Linked DNA regions of Lonchura striata. The protein of the gene in region 2 purifies or fractionates together with the protein of the main gene of each other region. This does not show direct contact. Links are inferred from orthologs where the notes say so. Each region holds a gene or a part of one and is shown on either strand. Other genes may lie near its edges. The genes, in order: KCTD10, USP25 and BTBD9.

Evidence for each region.
Region 1: the proteins of USP25 (region 2) and KCTD10 purify together in Homo sapiens (affinity purification with mass spectrometry; 4 studies listed by BioGRID and IntAct, counting the BioPlex papers as one, with this or other methods). This does not show direct contact. The link is inferred for Lonchura striata from reciprocal best matches to the Homo sapiens genes USP25 and KCTD10.
Region 3: the proteins of USP25 (region 2) and BTBD9 purify together in Homo sapiens (affinity purification with mass spectrometry; 3 studies listed by BioGRID and IntAct, counting the BioPlex papers as one, with this or other methods). This does not show direct contact. The link is inferred for Lonchura striata from reciprocal best matches to the Homo sapiens genes USP25 and BTBD9.

The regions. Positions count from the first base shown.
Region 1 is NC_134620.1:11,168,181-11,175,599, forward strand, and holds the start of KCTD10 (BTB/POZ domain-containing adapter for CUL3-mediated RhoA degradation protein 3), read left to right. Parts: upstream 1-4,334; 5' UTR 4,335-4,389; coding exon 4,390-4,392; intron 4,393-6,109; coding exon 6,110-6,323; intron 6,324-7,419. Other genes in the region: UBE3B (ubiquitin-protein ligase E3B), read right to left, coding at 260-345, 979-1,075, 1,166-1,270, 1,596-1,655, 2,443-2,563, 2,882-3,042. UniProt on the Homo sapiens protein: Substrate-specific adapter of a BCR (BTB-CUL3-RBX1) E3 ubiquitin-protein ligase complex. The BCR(BACURD3) E3 ubiquitin ligase complex mediates the ubiquitination of target proteins, leading to their degradation by the proteasome.
Region 2 is NC_134604.1:8,527,732-8,534,848, forward strand, and holds the start of USP25 (ubiquitin carboxyl-terminal hydrolase 25), read right to left. Parts: upstream 3,051-7,117; 5' UTR 2,989-3,050; coding exon 2,944-2,988; intron 1-2,943. UniProt on the Homo sapiens protein: Deubiquitinating enzyme that hydrolyzes ubiquitin moieties conjugated to substrates and thus, functions in various biological processes including inflammation and immune response.
Region 3 is NC_134605.1:29,139,049-29,146,416, reverse strand, and holds the start of BTBD9 (BTB/POZ domain-containing protein 9), read right to left. Parts: upstream 3,104-7,368; 5' UTR 2,992-3,103; intron 1,108-2,991; 5' UTR 1,023-1,107; coding exon 941-1,022; intron 1-940. Other genes in the region: GLO1 (lactoylglutathione lyase), read right to left, coding at 5,467-5,555.

The DNA.
Region 1 (7,419 bases), on a different chromosome or scaffold from region 2:
TGTCCATCTCATGATGGGGTGATTAAGCAGGATTTAGGTTCAGCAGCAGTGACAGAAGGGGAAGGGTGGATTTGGTCTCACTCTACTTGAGAAACTTGAGAAATTTTTGCTTTGCTTGAGAAAAATATAATAATGTACAAATCACTGGCAGCTCATCCCTGAGACCCTAACACAGACCCAAAATGCTCCTCAGGAGAGGGGGACAGGCAGGGCTGGGGCTGGTTGGGGTGAAGTTGGGACTGTGGCAGCTCAGACTGACCTGCAGCACGGAGTAGAAGCCCTTCTGGTTCAGGTGGCCCATGATGTTGGCACAGATGTGGTTCATGGCAGGTCTCAGGGTCTCACCTTTGGGTTAAAGCACTCGTGTCACTCCCACAGCACCACAGCCCCACTCTGGCTCCCCCACACAAAGGTTTGTCACTGCCCAAAGTCCTTGTCCTTCTACACAAACCCATCATTCTGTCAGCATTTTACACTGTATTGTTTAGGCTCTAAGAGTCTCATTTCCTCTCACTACTTATCTGCCTTTCCTACATCTATTTCCTACAAAAGTTAAGAGCACATTCCCTTACCCCCTGAACACTTACTGTGTGAGGGTTTCTGGAATATTATAAAAATGCTGTAACAACTGTTGGTGTCCTAAGGGAAACAGTCTAATCCCAAGGGGAAGAGTCTAATCCCAAGGGAATCCTTAATCTGGGCAAACACAGGAGCAGAATGAATCTTTGTGGCAACCAAGGTGCAGAAACAGAATCCCAGAAGGGTTTGGGTTGGAAAGAATGTTAAGGATCATCCCATCCCAAACCCCTGCAAAGAGCAGGTACACCCCCCACTATGCCAGGTTGCTCCAAACCCTCTCCAACCTGGCCTTGGACATTTCCAGGGATGGAGCAGCCACAGCTTCTCTGGAACTTGTGGCAGAGCATTCAGTAAATTTTAACACCAAGTCCCAAATCAGTGAGATTTGGATGCACCAACCTTTTCCCCGGAGGATCTTCCAGGTGGAAGTGTCTGTGAAGGTGACCAGCATTGTGAGGTGCAAGTTCACCAGTCTGGAGTCCTGCAGGATGTCAGGCTGGGATAACAAACAGCAGAGTTAACAAATCCACTGAGCCTTGTGCCCCCTGCCAAATGCAGGGAGAGAAAACACAGGAATAGTCCTCACCTTGAGCTGCTTGAGGAATTCACAGCAAAACCACAGGATGTCTTTGATCTGTTTGATCCAGAGGAGGGTGAGGTCCTTGGAGAGTGCCAGTGACACGTACCACACCTGAGCAAGGGGGGATGCACAGAGGGATCAGGGCTTGTGCTACTGCTGGGCAGTTTGGGAACTGAACCCAGCAGTGGGACCAAGATGCTCCTCTCCCCAAATTCTCACATCACCCACGCCAGAAACCAAGTGTCCTTTAACTCCCGTGGCTGCACAGAGTAAAAATATCCCAGGAATACTAAAGGACTTTCCACAGTGGAATTTCCACAGTGCTCAAGGGTTTCTGAAATCTAAAAATTACGTATTAGCAAAGTAAATCCCCACACAGAGAGTTAAAAATGACCACCAAGCCCTCCCCACTCCAAAGCAAACCCCCCCTGCTGACCTTGGGCTCGTTCTCCACATCCATGCTGTTCAGGATACAACGGCACAGCTTCTCAAACCTCTGGGAAAATCCAAAGGTGGGATTAGTTCTAACTACAGGAAGGGCTGTTCTGGAAAAGCACAAGAACAGCTCAGCAAAGGGAGGAAGATCTCTCTGTCTCAAATTAGCAAATGTTCCCAGCACATTCCCTACAAGAATCCTCATGGCTCCTTCCCTGGGAGCACACACATCCTGCTGCTGCTGTGCAGAATTCCTTCCTTGGGAACACAGGGGTTTTTTTTTGGGTGCTGTACCAACAGAAAACTGCATCTGAGCACAGATTTCCATGGGACAGAGATTAACAAAATCCCTCACTGCTGCTGCTATTGAAACACAGCTTTCCATTTTGCAGCTGGTTTCCTTCCAGTCAGCCCTCACAGCTTCCTGGGATCATCATTTCAGGGCTTCACTCTGAACCCACAAGTTCAGGGAATGGTGAGAAAAGCTGCTGGGGTACAAACAGCCTTCCCTGTGCCAGCATAGATCTCTGGCAGCTGTCCCAATGTACCTGCCTGGGGAACTGGGGTGTGCCAAAATCCTCAGGCACTGCTCAGCTCCTGCAGCTAGCACAGTCACCAGAAAAAACATCCATTAAAGGATGTCCCAAATACAAAACCACTGCTGAAAAATTCAAGGTTTCTCCCATCTCAATCCTACAGGCATATCCCTTCAGGAAGGGCCAGAAGCCAGAGAGAAACTTGCTGAAGGCAGAATATATTGCAAGAACCTCCAAGATCACTGAGTAAAGAATTAAACATATTTAACCTGTCCCCAAAAGCACAGCAGGATGTGAGGGCAGTGTCCTCACCTCCTTGTCCTCCTTGGGATTGAACACAAACAGCAGCTTCCTGGCAATCCTGAACACAGACAGGGCACTTCTTTTACTTGAGCCACATTCATTTGTCCCAAAGAAATCCTCCACCTCTCTCCTAGCAAAGAGGGAAAAACGAGGAGTTAAAAAGCAATCACAGAGCAAAGAATTCATTCCCTGAAGAGCCCCACATGGAAGATGGAGAGAGACTTTTTACAAAGGAAAAAGGGGAATGGACTCAAACTGACACAGGACAGGGTTAGATGGGATACTGGGAAGAAATCCTTCCCTGTGAGGATGGAAGAAGCTGTTGCTGCCTCATCCCTGGAAATGCCCAAGGCCAGGTTGGCGAAAAGTGGTGAGGGTTTTGAAATGAGATGAGCTTTAAAGTCCCTTCCAAGCCAAGCCATTGCATGATCCCATGAGTCCCACACACCTGATCTCCCTCTGCAGGTGGCATCGACACAGAAACCTCCTGACCAGAGCCTGGAGCTGCACTGCAGCTCTCTCCCTCTCCTTCAGCTCCCGCCGCTCCTCCCGCGCCTGCCGGGCCTTGTCCAGGAACTGGGCCCTGGAGGACTGGCTGGCACTGAACATGGCTGGAGCCTCAGGGAGCAAAGGATCCTCACAGCAAACAGCCTGGAAAACCAGAGCAGAGTGGAAAAAACACTCATAGAAGGGCAGTTCTTGGCTCCATGCAGAGGAGGGGAGAATCCGACAGCGGAGGGAAAGTGGGCTAAAAAAAAAAAAGAAAAAAAAACCCCAGTGACTGTCACGGGGCTGCAGCAGGGACACAAAAACACTGGCAGGGAATCCTTCCAGCACAGCCCACAGCCTGCTGCTGGCTGGGAGATTTTAAGTGGAAAAATAAACAAATCAGTGGTGTTGACACTGTGCTCCACCTCCCCTCTCCAGCATCTGCTCCTTCCTTGGTAACAGATAAGAACAACTCCCAGGCAGGGGCAGGAGGCAAAGGGCACAAGGGACAGCGATTTACTGCCTTTCAGCAGATAAAACACCCAGAGCTTTATAAATAGCAACAAAGCACTCACCTGAGGGGTCACTTATTCAAGGGAAGCGTGTGATGCTCATTTACACGCACACATCGAGAGACTTCGGGCAGCTCCTGCATGGACAAGCACATTCCCTGCGGCTGATTTGGGGACTTAAGACTTTCCCTCCGCAGTTCCGAGTCCTTCGGAGCCCATTTACCTCTGGCTGCAGCCGCAAGGAAAACGGTAAGTGGGAGGAGAAGCAGCACCACAGGCAGCTGAGGGGGGTGCGGAGCAGGGACAACCCCGTGTGTGACAGCACGAGAAGGACAAAGCCACCCAGGTGCCACCCCCGGGCAGCCACCCACAGAGGTGCGCTGCGGCTCGCAGGAGTCGCCCACAGCAGCCACAGAGCCCCCTCAGCCCCTCCGGCAGCCGCGCATCCCTCCCGTTCCCACCGCAGCCTCCCCGGGCCCGCACTGCGCTCACCCCGCCGCGCCTCCCCCCGCAGCCCCCCGGCGCTCACCCTCGTCCCGGCGGGCACCGGGCCGGGCCTCACAACCCCGGAACCCCCCGGGAACCCCCCGGGAACCCCCCGGGAACCCCCCGGTCCCTCCCGGCTCCGCCGCCAGGCCGCGGCCGCAGCCCCCTCCTCGCACCGTGTCCGCGCTGCCCGTCCGGCCGCCAACCCGCCCCGCCGCTGCCGTTCCGCCGGGCCGCTCACCGGCCGGGCGCAGGGGGAACGGCCCGCCCTGCGTCCCGCTGGTACCGGGGAGGCCGGGCCGGGCCGGGCCGAGCCGGGCCGAGCCCGTGAGGCGGCGGCGGCGCGGCGCGGGCCCGCCGGGCCATCGGACGGGTTTGGGGGCGCACCGGGCGGCGCCGGAAGGCGGGAGCGGCGGAAGTTCCGCGCCCGGCGCTGCCGCTCGCTCGCTCCGCGGGGCTCGGCCCGTTCATGGTGAGGGGAGAAGGCGGCTCGGGGCCGCGAGGGCGGGGAGGCGCTCTGGTGCTCGCGGGGGAGGAGGGGATGGAGGGGCGGATGGGGGACGGCGGGTGTGAGGGGGTGCGGGCCTCAGCACGGGGGAGGTGATGGGGGTCCCCTCGGTGGGGCGGGGGGCTTTGGGGCATGGGAAGGGGGCTGAGAGAGGCCGGGGGTTGCGGGTTGCCGTCCTGCCCGCTGCCCTGGGAGGGGTCGGGCTGAGGGTTTTGGGGGTCCGGCCGCCGAGAGCGGTGCGGGTGTTGAGGAGCGGCAGTGCCCAGGGGCGGCATGGAGAGAGGGGTCCCGGGGGGAGTCTGAGCCCCGGTCCGGTGTGGGGAGGGCAGCGCTGCGATTCGGGGTCATGATGGGATCGATCCCCCTCTGGAACCCCGCGCCCGTTCCTGCCCCAGCTCGGTACCGGAGGGAGCGGGAACGTGAGCTGAGATTGCTGCCTGTGCATCCCGGAGATGATGGGATCGTCTCCAGGCCACCCCTGCCGCTCCTGCTCCCTCTCCTGTGCCACACAGCTCCGGCTCCTTGGGGAGTTTCACGGCGGTGAAGCAAAAATCCTTCGGTTCGGCTCATCGCGGAGCCCTGGGAGCTGGAGGAGCAGGGATGGAGGAGGTGAATTATCCCACCTTTCCCATCCTGAGGGAAAACAGCCGCGGAGGCTCCTAGAGATTAAGGATTTAGCGGCTCTGGGGGCATTTGTGGTGCTGAGCCTCCGTGTGCCTGTGCCCGTGTGACCTCGGTGACAGGAATGTGGCTGGAGGTTGCTGTGTCCGGCTGGATTTTGGTGCTCTGAGCAGTGTGGGAGGGCAGGGAAGAGCAGGAAAGCTCATGTGTGCTCTCCGTGTTTGCTCCAAGAGAAAAAGACTTGAAAACCTGTGGATTTTCTGCCTTTTAGCACTTGGGAATCTGTTGATTTCTGCATTTGGACTCACAGGAATCATCTGCTCCACTTGTGTGTGTTGGGAATTGCCCAATTCCATCCCAGATTATTGATGGAGTAAGAGCTTTAAGCTGTGGAGTTGTGTGAGAAATGAAAGCAGTTGTGGGAAAGCTTGGCTTTGCAGTGCAAAACCCGGTTTAGCAATCCTAGGTGGTGGTTTTTTTTTTTTTGTTTGTTTGTTTGTTTTTTTTTTTCCCCTGGGGAAAAAAACAGGGACTGTGCCCACCAATGTCCTTCAGTTCCTGAGAGTGAAACATTGAAAACACTTGAGAACTTCACACAGAGCCACAGGAGGAGCCGAGGTGTGAAACACCCGGTGGGAGCAGGGGTGTCACACTGCCAGGGTGGCAATTGCTCCTTTGAGCTGGGAATTCCTTCCCTGAAGTGGAAAGTCCTTCCTTGAACTGGGAAGTCTTCCTTGAATTGGGAAGTCCTTCCTTGAGCTGGGAATTGCACTCTTGAAGTGGGAGCTGCTCCCTTGAACTGGGAATTGCACTCTTGAACTGGGAATTGCACTCTTGAACTGGGAAGTCCTTCCTTGAACTGGGAAGTCCTTCCTTGAGCTGGGAGTTGCTCCCTTGAGCTGGGAATTCCTTCCTTGAGCTGGGAGCTGCTCCCTTGAGCTGGGAGCTGCACTCTTGAAGTGGGAACTCCTTCCTTGAACTGAGACCTCCTTCCTTGACTGGGAGTTGCACTCTTGAAGTGGGAACTCCTTCCTTGAGCTGGGCATCCCCTTCCTTGCAGGAAGAGATGTCGGGAGAGAGTGTGGTGAGCTCAGCAGTGCCGGCGGCCGCGACGCGCACGACGTCCTTCAAGGGGAGCAGCCCCAGCTCCAAGTACGTGAAGCTGAACGTGGGAGGGGCCCTGTACTACACCACCATGCAGACCCTGACCAAGCAGGACACCATGCTCAAGGCCATGTTCAGCGGGCGCATGGAAGTGCTCACGGACAGCGAAGGTGAGGATCGGGACCTTCCCGGCGCCCTCCGCGTCCTTCCTGGCCAGGGAAAGTCACTGCGGTCGTGGGAAGGTCACAGGACCTTCTGTTTGAAGGGTTGGAAGGATGGAGGAGCTCTCCTACAAGGGAGGGTTGGGATTGTTCAGCCTGGACAAAAGGCAGGTTTGGGGTGACCTAATTGTGGCTTTCCAGTGCCTGAAGGAGCTACAAGAACCACAGAGGGAGGATATTTATAAAGCCCTGGAGTGGCAGGACCAGAGAATAGGTTTGGATGAGATATTGGGAAGGAATCTTTCCCTGTGAGGGTGGGGAGGCCCTGGCACAGGGTGCCCAGAGAAGCTGTGGCTGTCCCTGGATCCCTGGAAATGTCCAGGGCCAGGTTGAATGGGGCTTGGAGCAGCTTGGGATAGTGGAAGGTGTCCCTGCCCATGGCAAGGAGTGGACTAAATAATCTTCAAGATTCCTCCCAACCCAAAAACTGCTGTTGTTCCATGATTCCATGATTGTACAGCTGGGAAAAATGTGGAACAAAAGACAAAGATGATCTGAGTGGTTGCCTGAACAGAAGGACACCAAGAAGTGCCAGAGCTCCTGTCAGGCCCTGGTGACACCTGGAGCATCTTTTCCTTTCAGAATACTGACACTAAAGCTCTGGAGTCCATGGAAAAAGGCGTGGATAGTGATTAGGAATCCTTGAGCTGGGACTTGTGTGTCTTCTTGGAAGCTCAGAATGCCATTCCCTCTTGTCTCCTTGCTTATAAATAAAATATAAAACATACTCTGAACATAGGTATAAACGAGTTAAAAGCTGATTTTTTTTTAAATGAAACAATTATCTCGTGGGACTGTTGACAGCTGATTTCCCTAAAATAGAACCAGTTGCAAAATTTTCAGAAAATTTGGAATTTTATCTCCGCATTCCCACATTGTGGATGTGCCAGAGTTTAATTAGAAGCTCAGCTTTATTTTCACTCTGATGTTTTACCCATAACAATATTTAAAGACCTTTGTCTTTAACAACAGCCTCTGCAAAGCTGAGCCTGGAGGTTCAAACACCTCCCTTGGGATTAGTTAATTACTATTTGAAAAATTTTGT
Region 2 (7,117 bases):
GCTGAATCACAGGTCTGAAATAACAGTGGGTGTGGGAAACCAAAGGAGAGATAAAACAGCCTTTAAATCCATGTATCAACCAAATGTCAGGCTCTCTCCAGAAGCAGTAGAACTTGATAACACACATTGCTGAGAGGCCAGCTAAGTGCCACCAATTAAAACCCAGCTTCTTCAATCTGCCATTCCAAGATGACCATCACAGTAATTACCAGAGCTGATACAACGTTGAAACATGCTTAACCTCCCCACATCATAACTTTCAGTTACCAGAAAAATCACCATTCACCCAGCCCCTGAACTCGCTGTGTAGGGGACACTGGCCAAGGGAAGGGTCTGCACAGTACATGGGCAGCCTGGGGAGATCTTCCTCCAGGAGGAAAATTGAGGTTCACAGGCATCAGCCACATAGGGCTGCCTAGATTATGTGAAATCCTGCAACACATGTGCCTTATTTCCTCAGCATCAAAATGCCTGACAAAAAAAAAAAAAAAAAAGGACTGGACCGGACAGAAATGCAGATTGGACAAAACAAGAAGCTACTTTTTTTTTTAACTTTGCATGTTGTTTACCTTTTTCACATGCTTTAATCTTACTGTGAACATTACCTATAACCTTCAGACACCGAACAATGTCATAGAAGCACACAAGGGCCATAAGCAACAAGAATAATTTGATTAATTATTTGCTTCAGGACATAATTTACAAGTTTTAACTAAGGGTCAAAATGACCAGTAGAGATGAAAGAAAAGCTTCTTTTGACCTGACGCAGCTGCTTTAACTACACAATAAACTAAAGATAGCTTCAGTGGGAAGCAGGCTGTTTGTAGTTACAGCATTTATTAATACAAACCTACATCTCCAAGTGCTGCTGAAGTTTGACACACGCTTCCTGTATGACAGTAAGAAAACGTCTGATGAACAATGTTTGCAACCATGGCTCCGAATAAGGTATGCTGATGACTCAGGCATCTCTTGTAAACCCAATATATTTCTGCTTGTATGTGGTTTCTTCACATTAACAGAAAACAATTGTAACAAACTTTGAGGTCTCCAGAACAAACTCCCTTATTTGTGGACATTGGGCTTTTCTTCTTTCAAGGGAAAACAGTAAGTTATTGCTATGGTAGCCTCTCCACCTTTCATCCATCCATCAGCCCACTGGACCTTCACCGTTTGCCTTCTTACATGCAAATACCTGATCAATGTTAAAGTTTGTCATCCAATTACCTAGTCATTAGTCTCGCTAACAATGAGACACTCACTTTGGAGTCAAATAAAGCTTTTTTACAAAGTACTTTTAAGATTTGCCTTTCCCTCATTCCCTAAATGCATGCAATTAGGGATAAAACAGGTTAAAAGCAATTGCAGATAATAAAATAATCAGATAATTCAACAGAAACAATAATAAAAAAACCCTGCCATGAAAAAAACTTGATATTTTATTCAGTTTCTTTAGACACTTTAAAAGGTGACCAACACCCACCAATGCTGATTACAACTTCAGAATTATTGCTAGCTATATTTTTTACTGCAGCATGGATTACTTGGCATATACCACAATCAATCTTCAACCTCCTTTTGGGCTTATCCTCGATTTGAAACTCAAGTGAATCTGAACTACTGACCCGCAAGCAGTAGTTTAGCTGAAAACTAAGTATCCTTCTAGTTTAGTTGAAAACTAACATTACTACTCCAGGATTATTGTCAGAAAGCACAAATAGGCAGCACTGATCAGGGTCCAGAAGGCACTTCGTATCTGACGTGATAATTACGATATATTAAGTAAACCACAAGAGGTTTTGTAAAAGATAAACTTGCTCGCGAAAGTTGTCAGATGCACAGCAGCAACATCAGTTTTCAAACACAGCAGGCGCATGTAGCAGCAAATCTGCTGCGTTAACCTGCCAGCACACCCCAACTGAAAACACTGAGAGAGGAACAAAATCAGACCGTTCAGCCCTTGCCTGCCTTCCTGCTGAAGCCGCCAAAATCACGGCTAACTACTTCCAACTATGAGAGCAGTCCTCGGCCAGACACGCCCTCCCTCCAAACAAGCTTCTTAAATGCGAGCTCTACCACTTTAACCAATTATACCCTAATCAGCACATTCCCACTGTCCACTCTTACGGCTGCAGCCATTTAACTTCCCCACCGACTATACCAAAGCACACATACCTTTATCCTCTTAGGAAGGCAGTACATGCCATTAAAACATTAATAAAAATCAGGAAAGAGGCAACAGCCATACCACTAACCAGAAGAGTTGTGTTAACCTACAAGTTACCTTTAAAACATATTATTTTAAAAGCACTGCAATTTAATTTTAGACATTTGTCTTGACAGTTCAAGGGAAGGAAAGCTTTAGAAGGTATCCTTTTTATTCTTCTTTTGACAGAGAAACATTCTCCATCGAGTCCTGGCGCACAGTAAAAGCCTGATGAGCGCCGTCATTCCCTTAACCCCGTTCCATGATGCACGTTAGCACGAGTCCCTAAACCCGGCACTTTTTCACTCCAGCAGGAGCGCGTCACTCGCTGGAAATAGCGTTCACCTTTGGCAGGCGCGGATGCCGGCGCCGCAGGGTCACGCCGGGCATGTGCAGCATCTCCCCCCGGGCCCGCGGGGGGCTCGGCCGGGACTCGGCGCTCTCGCTGCCCGGCCCCGGTCCCGCCGCTCTGCCCAGCAGCCTGGAGCGCAACAGGCCCGCCCGGGGCCGCGGGCAGGAGCCGGGGCTGCCCGGGGTGACCCGGGGCCGGCCCGGCAGCCGCCCCCGCCGCGGCTCCGCGGCCGCCGGAGCGGCGGGGCCCAGGCGAGGCCGCGGCGCGGGGAAGGCCCGGGAGAAGCCGGGCGCGGGCGCGGGGAGGGACGGCGGGAGCCGGAGCGGGCGCGGCCGGGCCCGGGCGCGGCGGAGCCGCTCCAGGCCGGGCCCCGCCGGGGACTCACCTTGGCGGCGCCGCCGGGCTGCAGCACGTTCTGCTCCACCGTCATGGCCCCCGCGCGGCTCCCGGCGGCGCCCCGGGCTCGGCGGGCGGCGGCGGCGCCGTGCGGCGGCAGCTGGGCCGGGCCCGGGCTGGGCGAGCGGGGCGGGAGGCGGGGCGGAGGGGGAGCCCGAGTCGCCGCCCGGCGCGGGGGGAGCGCGGCCGCGCTCCGGCCCCGCCGCCGCTCCCGGAGCGCCGCCCTCGGCCCGGCTGCGGCTCCCGGCGGCGCCGCCCCGCGCACCTGCCCCGGGCGCGGCCCCCGCCCGGCCCCTTCCCCGCCCTGTCACAGCGCCCGCCTCCATCTTGGCGGCTCCCGCCGGGCCCCGCCGCCCGCTCCTCCCGCGGGAGGGCTCCGCGTCCTTCGCCGGCTGCAGCGGCGGCCCCGGCGACGGCAAAGTTTGCCCCCGCCGCGGGGAAACAGAGCGGCTTACCGGTGCCGCTTTCCAGGGGATCGCCAGGGAATTTATGAGCCAGCGCTGTGGCTGCTCGTGGCCAGGGCAAACCGAATCGCCAAATGAATCACAGACCCAGGATCGCTCGGGTTGAAAGGGAGATCGCCCGCCGCAACCCCCCTGCCAAGGCAGGGTCACCCAGAGCAGGTGGTACAGGAACGTGTCCAAGTGGGTTTGGAATGTCTCCAGAGGAGACTCCACACCTTCCCTGGGCAGCTGCTCCAGTGCTCTGCCGTGCTCAACAGAAAAGAAAAAAAAAAAAAAAAGTTATTCCTGCTGTTGATGTAGAAATTAGAAATTCTTGTGTTTTAGTTTATGGCCATTGCTACTTGCCCTGTTGTTGGGCCCCACCATCCTCTTGGCACCCACTTTGGAGATCTTTGTATGCATTAATACACAGAGGTCCCCTCTGTGTTCTCCAGACTAACCAGGCCCAGCTCTCCTCATAAGAGATGCTCCGGACCCTGATCACCTTCGCAGTCTTTGCTGGACCCTCTCCAGGAGCTCCTTGAGGAGCCCAGAACCAGAAACAGTAATGGTGCATCCTGAAGTTGCAGGTCTTCCCTTTCCCTGAGGTTTGACTGGGTGAGCCGTGGTTTGACTGGATGGCATTCAGCATTCAAATTGTATGGCAATGTCATTAACATATGGGGGGGGGTAGCTGGTCTTGGCAGCCCACAGTGAATTTTGGCACCACAGATAAACAGTATTAGGGAAGAAATTGTCCTTCTGTCACCCTGCTCTGGGGTGTCAAGGAAAGGGCAAGAAAGGATTCTGCTTTGGGCATCAGCACAAGCAGCACAAGACTCAGCTGGACAAAACACGTTTGCCCAGGAGCAGGTGAAGGGCAGCAGAGAAGCCCATCTCACATTTTGAATGCCTGCCCAGTGTATGGTACCAGTGTCCCTGTTCCACTTCCAAGGCTGGTGGAGCTCAGTCTGTAGGAAAAGCTGCAGAGAACAGCACAGTTCTGAGAGCCCCAAGTACCTAAAAAACATGAGCTGGGAGCCTAATGCTACAAAATTAATTGCAGCTATTGCTTGTCTGTCACACACAGCCTTTACAACTCTGTAATCCAGAGCCCTCCTCTCCCCACAGTAGAGTATGGATCTTTTTAAAACTGACATTATCAGGTAATAACATCACTGGAAGATCCTGGACTCTAAGGAAAACACAAGCACAACTCATGACAACTTGCAACCACTGCTTCATTTCATTGTAGATTCTGTGCAGGAGATGTTGCAATGTAATCAATATTTGCACTTCTCAGGTTTGTTGCCCATAGATTGTATCAGTTTTAATGTTTTGGTTTTTTTTTTTTTCCTTTTATGCTGCAACATGAAAGGAAATTTGTAAAATTTGTTTCCAAAGAATTTATTGTGCAAAAGATAAGAAAGTATGCAGATAATATAACGGGCTCAGAAATGGATTGCAAATTACTTTACTGGAGATAGGAAAGGAAAGTCTCTGCTCAGACTGATGGCTATATGTAAGAAAGACAACAGTAGCAGCTTGGGGTTTTTCTTAAAAAAAACTTTTCTGTAGTAGCTGTGAAGGAGTGATAGTCCAATTCCTCCGTCCTCTTCCAATATATAATCATGCTTTTTCTTATACATTTTTACAGCTTCTTCACCGTGTTTTTACATGTGCTATGTTCAGATAACTCCCATCACAACTATTATTTACATTATTTGAACATATTATAAACAAATTAGCATTTAAATAAAATACAGTTGTCTTGCAATATTTTTTTCAAGTGTTTTCACTGTTTTATTTAATAGCTTTCCTGTGTCCAAAAATAAAATGTTTCCAAAAAAGAAAGAAGAAATTGTACATTTTGTTCAATTCTTTTTAAATCAGGATAAAATGACAAAGCATCACCTTCCATTAAATTCCCTTCCCCAATAAAATTCATTTTTAAGGGCTCCAGCTTCCTAACTTTCTTTAATATAAAGGCTGAGCAATCTGATTCCAAAACAGGGATTTGCCATTTAAATACATAATCTGAACCAGAATCATGCAAATGAGGATTCTGTCATACCTACAGTGTTGCTGGGAACCAGAGGGAGCAGAGTTCCCTGTTCTGTTTTGCAGCTCAAGCTCTCTATGAAGTACATTGAGTACAAGCCTGGAATTCATACCTCATCAGTAAACACTAATGATTTTGTCAGGGCCACAGTTTAAGAGGAAAATATATATTTTTTTATATATGTGCATATTTTCACAGAAGTTTGTTAGGTTTCCCCATAGTTTTTCCTCACCTTTTAACAATATTGCAGGGTTTGGCTGCTACCAAACATGGTTTGGTTGTTAAACAGTTTGGTGACATGTTGCACAACCTGTGCCTCCAGCTGCTTGTTCCCCTGAGCAAGGCTCCCCCTCGTCTGCACCTCCTGCTCACCAGCGGTGCTGGAGAAGTGATTCACTTGAAACACAGGCACAAACTCCCCTCCCCACTAAACTGGTTGTTTTCTTCTGCTAGATAAGTTCCCCAAAATGGTTCACTGACTGGCTACAGGAACAGCTGGGCTGGCCCAGAAGAGAGGGTGACCCAGGCTCAGTGATGGTACCCATCAAGTTTCATTTCACCTATTTCTAAAATCAGTAAGTGATTGTGCCTTCCTGATCTGCACACTGCCAGTTGGAGGGAAAGCCTGTGCCTGCTCACAGGAATCCTTGTTTCCCCATTTTTGCAAAGAGCAGCCAAAACATCAGCCAACCACAAAACACTTTAGCACATGTTTTATTGTATACAAAGACCATGTACAACAAGAAATAGCTCATTATTTCCCTCCATTTTCAATAGACTTGGGTTTGTCTTTAATTAAGTGCAACATGCATTTAGGGCTTTAATTAGACTGTGGCTGCATAAGTTACAGCTGGGAAACAAAAGTCAGGACTTCTTGGTTTTCTTTTCCCAGATGTGTAACCTGCTATACTGGGGATGAGAAAGCACTGCTTTAAAAAGCACAGGGAACGCTACAAACACAGGTTCTGTAGTTAACCCTGGACAAGAGCTGCCCAGGATTCACATTTATAAACCCCATCTTGGAGCACTTTCACTTAGGCCTTTTGGCTCTGCAGTAAATAGTTCAGCCAACTGACAAAACCACGGCCATTCAAGCAGCTTTTATAGCATGAAACTTTTGAAATCATCGTTTGGCAATTACTCCCTGTGTCACTGGTAACCATTCAAGCATTGCTTTGGCACCTGCAAAATCTCCTGGTGGTTATCATCCAAGGCAACCAAAACAAAAACTAACAAAATTTGTAACTCAGGAAAAGCCTTCTTAAAAGTCTTCTGAAAGCCTTTTGAAAATCTAAAAGTAAAACTAAAATGAGGTGAGCATAGGTCTTGTTGCTATGCAAAACACAACTTCATATTCCATTGTTTGTTGACCTTAAATTGAAGGTTCCTGACCTTCTAATTTTTTCTTGACAGCAGATGTCTATTCATTCACGTGTCTTCTTAAAGTCAGGTGCTACATTCAAAAATAAAAATTCTCAGATTTAGACTCCTGAGTTCATGTAATTGCAGCTGAATTCCACAGAAATTATGGATTTTACAAGAACCTAGTTAACGTGCCCTTTTTTACCCTAGCTATCTTCACACTTCATTTTACTTTATTATTTTATTTATTTTATTTTATTCTTGACCACCCTTGCATATTGATCATATTATTTGAC
Region 3 (7,368 bases), on a different chromosome or scaffold from region 2:
ATTGTACAGGGGGGTTTTAACACCTGTACAGGGGGAGTTTTACTTTGTACATGGGGTCAGAAGTTCTAAGATGGAGGAATGTAGGCCGGTCCTGTTCTTCCTTGCCTCCATGTTCTTGGTGATGCTGGCTGGCACTTACGGATTGGTTTAGAGTAGAAAAGCACCATTTAATATGGGTAGTAGGTATTGGGGAAAAACTGTAAACATGTATCACATAATGTACCATATAAAAGATAGCAGCAGCCCTGGGCAGGGAGAGAAGAAGACAGCAGACAGAGAGGGTGTCAGAGGTGTGTGCGCCTCTGCCTGAGCTGCTGAGCAAACCGCAGTAGCCAGAGAAGACAATCTTCTAGATAGCTTGCAATAAACAGCCATGAGACTGAACAACAAGAAGCTGCAGAGTTTTTCTTTGGAAGCACAGGTTGGAGGAGAGCCTTTACCACCACCCAGAACCCCTGAACCAGGCCAGGGTTCCAACAACAATCCACCCATACAACTTTATAAATACAGACTATGAAAACTCAAATAACGGCAATTCACAGAACTTTCAAATCCCATCTCCAACCCTTCTGTTGTGAAAGGATTAAAAGGAAAGCAGATGGTAACATTAGTGGAAACTAACCACACCATCCAATCACAGCATTCTAAACAGCAATTTAGTACCAAAAAATGTTTTGACTCAAAGCATATGGGAAGTTATGCCCTGCTCATCTGCAAACACATTCCCATCACTTAAGTGCTGTAGTGCTAACATTTTACACACTCCTCAGACGCTTTCCTGTCACAGAAGAGTGGGAATAAGTTTAGCTAAGTACAAGAACAAAATAACAAGATACTTAGTCCAGATTATTTATTAACATATATATAAAAAATTAACATGGTTAAAATGGCATACAACAAAAACATTAAAATATCAAGAAAACACATCGGGTCCACTCACCAGTGAAGCTGTCTGAAGACCTACAGTGCGTGTAGCCTGTAGGCAGATTCCCTGCTTCCGGGAAATTAGGGTTCTTTGCCATTCTGAACAACAGACAGATTGAACAGCAAGCTCATAGAAATGTTATTCAGCAACATCCAGCTGCACAGCAACAACTGGACCATTTCCTGGAACAATGCATGAAATACACATCATCAGAAATAATGAGTACAAAGCCTTATGATGAAAGTGAGAGATGCATATTTCTCAATTCAACTTCTTGCAGACATAAATTCTTTAAAAAGCTTTCAATTTAACAGGAAAACTTCTAAAAACATTAGAATATAGGAATAGTATTGCTATTCTGAGTCATCATAATTTAATTTTGACTGCTAATATTTTAAACCATTAGAGAAGACAGTAACACATCGCCATATTCCATATAAGCTAAAAAATTCTAACCTGATATTTCTGCTACAGCATTAATGCTCCTGGAAAACACCATTTTCCCAGATGGGTGTCCTAATTAAACTAGGTCTATACAAACTGTATCACACATGCTTTATTCCCTACACAGACAAAATTCTCCAAGTGTTCTTGCCTAACTAAAGTGTTGGGGATTTCATTTGGGTTTTGGTAGTTTTTTTTTTACAAAACTTAAGGCAGCTGCAAGACCTGTCTATTGCACAAGCCTTTTTTTTTTTTAACAGGAAACCAAAACAAAACTGTAAGGTTAGGAATGGAGAAATATAGAGGCTTGATTTGCTTAAATACATAACCAACATAATGAGTTTCTCTCGACAATTACAAATTACTGCTAACCTTCCAGGAAGAAAAATAAACTGTATTTAATTTGCTAAATGGATGATATCTTGATCTATGAATTCTCTCATGATATGTTCAAGAGAACAAAGGAAGAGAAGGCAGAAAAAAATATTTTTAGGTAGTCTCATGAACTAGAAAGTAATCACACCTTAATCCTGCAAATCAAATCCAGGCTTTTTACAAAGAAAAGTCTTCTGGTCTTTGAGGACCAAAATGTAATACATAAGTATCTTTCCTATAAGAAATGCATGTTATCAAGTTTGCCTGTGTTATCAAAATACATTCAAAAGGCATTAATGAAAAATCTTGGGTTTTTTTTGTTTGGTTGGTGGTTTTTTTGGTTTTTTGTTTGCTTTTTGTTTGTTTGTTTTTGTTTGTTTGGTTTGGTTTTTTTTTTTTTTTTTTTTTTTTTTGCTAAATTTGAGTAGAATTCCCAACAAAACAGCTCTAGCACCGGATTTAGAGTTGTAACAGAAGACACATCAAATACACCTGCTCTGTGAGCAGGCTCAAATTAAATCCTGAAACACATAACTTAAACGATTCCAGCACAGGACTTTAAGAAGGTCTGTTTACTATGCTTTAAAAACATGAGCAAAAAGCATTGCTTGGCAAGCGAGATCACCGGAAGATTGCTAACAAGTTAACAGCAAGTTGTTTTTTTTTTTAAAGTCTGATAATATGTCTTCTAAGTTAAGAGTAATTTCAATGAATCACAGCAGTGCGTAACTTGCAGAGTGATTGAACTACTACGACACCAAACATTGGTGAAACAGGGAAAACATTGAGTACCGCGAAAGCATCAAAATACTGAACTTGTGTTTTCTTAAGAAATAAAATTCTAATTAGATGGCCGTAGCACGGCCTTGCGAAGCCAGAGGCAGAACGAGGGGGCGGCAGACGAGGCGGGCGCGGACCAGCGCGGGCGATGCGCCCAAGGTCGCGCCCGGGGCAGCCCGGGCCGCCACCGGCCCTCAACGCGGGAAGCGCCAGGGGAAGGGACCCCAGCCCGCCCGGCCGGCCCCTCCCTCGCCTCCACAACGAGGCACTTCAGGTGAAACCGCTTCCCCGCCAAATGCGCCCGGCGCCTTCCCCGGACGCCGGCGCTCCCCCGCCCCGCCCCAGGTCGCCCTGCCCGTGCCCGGCGGCAGCCGCCGACGGCAGCACCTCAAGACCCCAGGCAGCCTCGGGACCCCGCCCGGCCTCAGGGCCGCGGCCGCCCCGCCCCTCCCGCCCGCGGGACTCACCGGCCCCTCCGCCGCCGAGGCCTCCTCTTCCCGCCCCGCCGCCGTTCAACGTCACCCGGCAGCGCGCTGAAGTCACCGGACAGCAGCGGCCTGCGTATGACGCCAGTGGGTTCCGCCGCGCCGCGGGAGCGCCGCCGCCGCCGCCCTTTTTCCTGCTCCGCCCCTGGAGCGCGGCAGTCGGGACATAGCGGCGCTGCCGGACAGCAGGGACTGTGAAATAGCGACCGCTGTTTAACCTTCCCCGCCACCCCTGTCCGCTGCTCCTTGGCTCCATTCAAAATCCCTGTTTCCTTGGTAGCGGCGTGCGTAGCTCCTGCCCTCCGCTGCGTGTCCTGCTTTCCTGCGTCAGGAGAGCTTCTCCCTGCGGGAATGGGGAATGTGGGCCTGTCGCTACGTAAGCATGACTGACTTGTGTTGCGCTGCATGAAGCTAAATTTATGCCTTTTGGGAGGCAAAGCACTACACGCTATTTAATTCCATGGTTTATTTAGAAGAAAAGAAGCCTTCCTTGGAAGAAGCAAAAATAGTGGCCTGTAATCAGTTGGAACATGAAACAATTTCAGAAGTTTTTCTGTGTCTAAAATACTTTAAAAACGTTGCAGGTTAAGACTTGTAATTCTGGATTTGGGTTTTTTTTGCTTACTAAGCAGAGAAGCTTTAGCCTAGCCTGCTGCTACTTATGTAGTTATCCACTGGACTACATGATAGGAAAGATGTGTGCTAATGTCTTTACAAACAATTCCATGGGCAGGGTATAGGTATTAATGCCTTTGAAATAGTTCCTAATGTCTCTACCAACTTCAAGCCTCAGGTTTGTAAGAGCCCAGACAATTTGACTCCTGAAACAAATGGGTCCACACACAAGCCAGTTTCTGCATTTTGGGGGAAAATGACATGTTAAGGAGGAAGTATGTGGTAGGCAGTTCAGAAAGGCTGTACCTTCCTAGTACCTCAGCCAATGGGGAAAGAAGAGGTCAACATGTGGCTGGGAGTTTATAACACGTGTGTGCCCCAGTGAACACTGCCTTTATTTGAATATATTTGCAGGACGACTGTCTCCTTTGTGGACACTGGCTTTTCATAGTGTGGCTTTTCTGCTCACATGGGGGCTTTCAGGGTCCTTCCACTGTCTGGACCCAGCACATGGCAGCAGGAGCTGGAGTCACACCTCACCCAGTTTTTAGGCAACCAACTCCCTTTGGCACTGGCCACCATCGAGCAATTGATTAGGTTCCCAAGACTGTCCGGGAGACAGATGAGAGGTGGACCAGTGAGGTCTGTGAAGAGTCCACAGGAAAGGATCATTAGAAATTTCATTGCCGAGTACAATGATTCCAAACAGAATACTCTAAGCAAAACAGCAAGCCTTTCAGTCATCAAGAATTCAACAAAAAGCAAAGCAACACTTCATCATGCGTTAAAGTTTCTTGTAGTTTTCACCAATGTTTTATTGGGAAGTGAACTGCAATGCCTTTACACTATTTGTTAGCCTTTGGTTACCCTATACATTATTTGATAGCCACATAACTGAAGACGTTAGGTGCTACTCCAAGCAGAATAAGACAAGGCAGAGGGTTTTATAATTTGTGTAAGACATGGAAATGCTCCATGTTTTCCTGCTGCTCACAGGTATGTACCACCACTTGTTTTGGGAGGACAATCAAACAGAGAATCTTTTTCATTAATTTTCTAGAGCAGAATATACAAAGAATTTAAGTCAAATCTAGCCCCAGACTTCTCCTGAAACAAAAATTATGAGCAAGTTCTTCCTAGTGTTGAAAGAGACAAGGGTCACTGCAAGTTGGCAGCTATGAGACCTCTTCTCTTGGCTGTCAATCAGCAGTCAAAAGCTGAGCTGAAAGACTGAATTCTTTCTGCTGTACAAATTTATTCCTTCTATAAAACTTCTTTTTGCAAGACAGTTTAAGGCTGCTCCTTAAAAGAGTTTTGCCTGGAATAATGTAAATAAGATTATGAATTTTATAAGCAAGCTACTACTCCAGTCAAAATTAGCCTGATATTTTATTTTTCTAGTATGCAAATTAGGACATGAAGCCTTCAGGATCTTCTGACTTCATAAATATACTGAAATTTCTTTTTGCTTCCTCATTGATGCTCATCAGTAGTAACACAGGAATTGTTGCCCATTTAAATCTAATCAGTGTGAGATGCAGTGAGCTTCTGGTCACATATCTTTTGACAGTGTTTATTGAAATATTAACATAAACAATGTTCAAGAGGAGAATCTGTGTAAGTGCTCTTCCAGAAAATGACTGAGTATTCCTAACTGGAAACAATTGGCAGTGGCATCACAGGAGAAGAGAAAAGGAATCCAAGTTAGGTCCCAGGGGATAGTTTTGGAGGAGACTCTGAACGTGACTGATTCCTCTCTATTAAGCAATTTTCACAAACACTATTACAGATTTTCTCCAGGAGTCTGAAAGTGGGTCTCTTATACAATATACTTTGCTAGAACTAAGTGAGAGTCACCATGTGTTTAGGATTCAAAATTTCAATCCAGTAGCCATCAGGGTCCTGAACAAATGCAAGTCCTTTCATTTTACCTATTACGGGAAAAAAAAAAAAAAAGATAAAATGAAGACTACATGACTGATTCTAAATGTCAAATATGACTACTTTCAAAAATATTTTTAGTTTTGCATGAGAATTAGTTCAAATTTAGACAGATAATTCTAAAAACATCCAGCTTAGTTTTTAATCGGCATTAGATCTCTGTATGCAAAACCGTCAATCCTACTCTCAATAAAGCTGTAGTTAAAAGTCACTTTGGAATTCAATCTTTTGTTGATTGAAGTTTTTTGCATATGCCCCAGTAAGTGTTCATCCTCAAAATTCAGGAAAATATTTCTGTGCTCTGGGGATGTTTTGATATATTTTCTTGAACTGGCTTTGCTGGTATAAAATCCTGTGTTCCTCTGCCCTGTTCATCTCCCACCATTCCCAACTCCACAATGAAATTTTACCATAAAATTTTTACCTCTGACATGGTTTACAGTATACTTCTGCACCACTTCATAAAGCAAAGAAATGCAGGACAGGATTGTTATAGATTTTACTGCTGGAAACCATATTATTCCTTAAAACAAGCTCCCCAAAAGTTGTTTTCAACAGTAGATCAGGACAACACAGCTTAAAGTGTTAACCACACACTTGTAGTTATACTTGCTCCATTAAGTTATTTACTGTAACAGACCCAGCCTAACTCTTAATATATTCTAGTCACAAAAACAACGGAGAAAATAGATGTTTATTCATTAAGGCAGGAAAATAAACCCTATGCTTGATCTCCACCATGCTCTGCAAACAATGTTAAACCCAAAACTTCATTCTCCTCCTTGGCATTTGCTGCATCAATTTTGTTTCTGAATTTCAAAGAAGAGCTTTTGCTCTGCCCCCACCCTTCTTCTGCTTCAGGAGTTCTTTCTTGTGATTCTCTCCATTTATAGTCTAAGCTTGTTCTTCTATGTACTTTCATGCCTACCGCTGCACAGCTGTAAGTCAGCAATTCTCACTTCAAGCCTCTCACTGTTTAACAAACAGACAAATTAAAAAAGGCTCAGAAACTCTAAAATGCTAGAAATACCAAGATCTGTTCTTAATTCAAGAAATCAAGTTAAGTTTTCAGCTACATTTCTTATTTTGCTTCAGCTGAGAACACAGTGAATAAGATGAAAATCACTTAAATCTGTTTTCAATTACTAGTATTACATGTCTGGTTTTGCATGCATCAGTCCTAAAAATCTCATGAGGTCTTTTCTATGAAAGAGAATCCTGCTGAAAAATGCAAGACTTCTCACCACTTCTGCATTTTGGGATATCTTCACATATGCATTCTTTGCATATATACTCTCTGAATATTTGTGTGATACATTATGCAAGTCAATTATGATAAAGACTAATGGGCTACTCCTACCAAAGCTGAAAGAGCAGTTAAAAATATAATAGCTGGTAGGTTGTACAGTAGGTGTTAGGTGGATTTACATGAAAATAGCCAGAAAAGTCAAGAATGACTCAGTTTAAATAAGTGGGAACTATTATGTTTTGACTTACTTTCCTAAGACAAGAACCAAGCAGATTTGCCATGTGACTCTGATCCATGTTACAGTAAATTCTGTAACAACTCTAGGCAGCAGTATAAAATGATATGTAAACTATGACATCAAGAGAGAATGTGAATTTTACTGAAGGTTAGGCTGCATACAGAAGGCACATCACAGACTGATGTATTATTGTTACTGGGATGGATCTATTGTCAGTTTTGCCCACTCTGTAAGGCAGTGCAGGGGTAACTGGTTTTAGAAACCTCTAAGCAGTGGCAACTCCTAGCAACGCATTACTCAGCTTTCCAGGAAGATC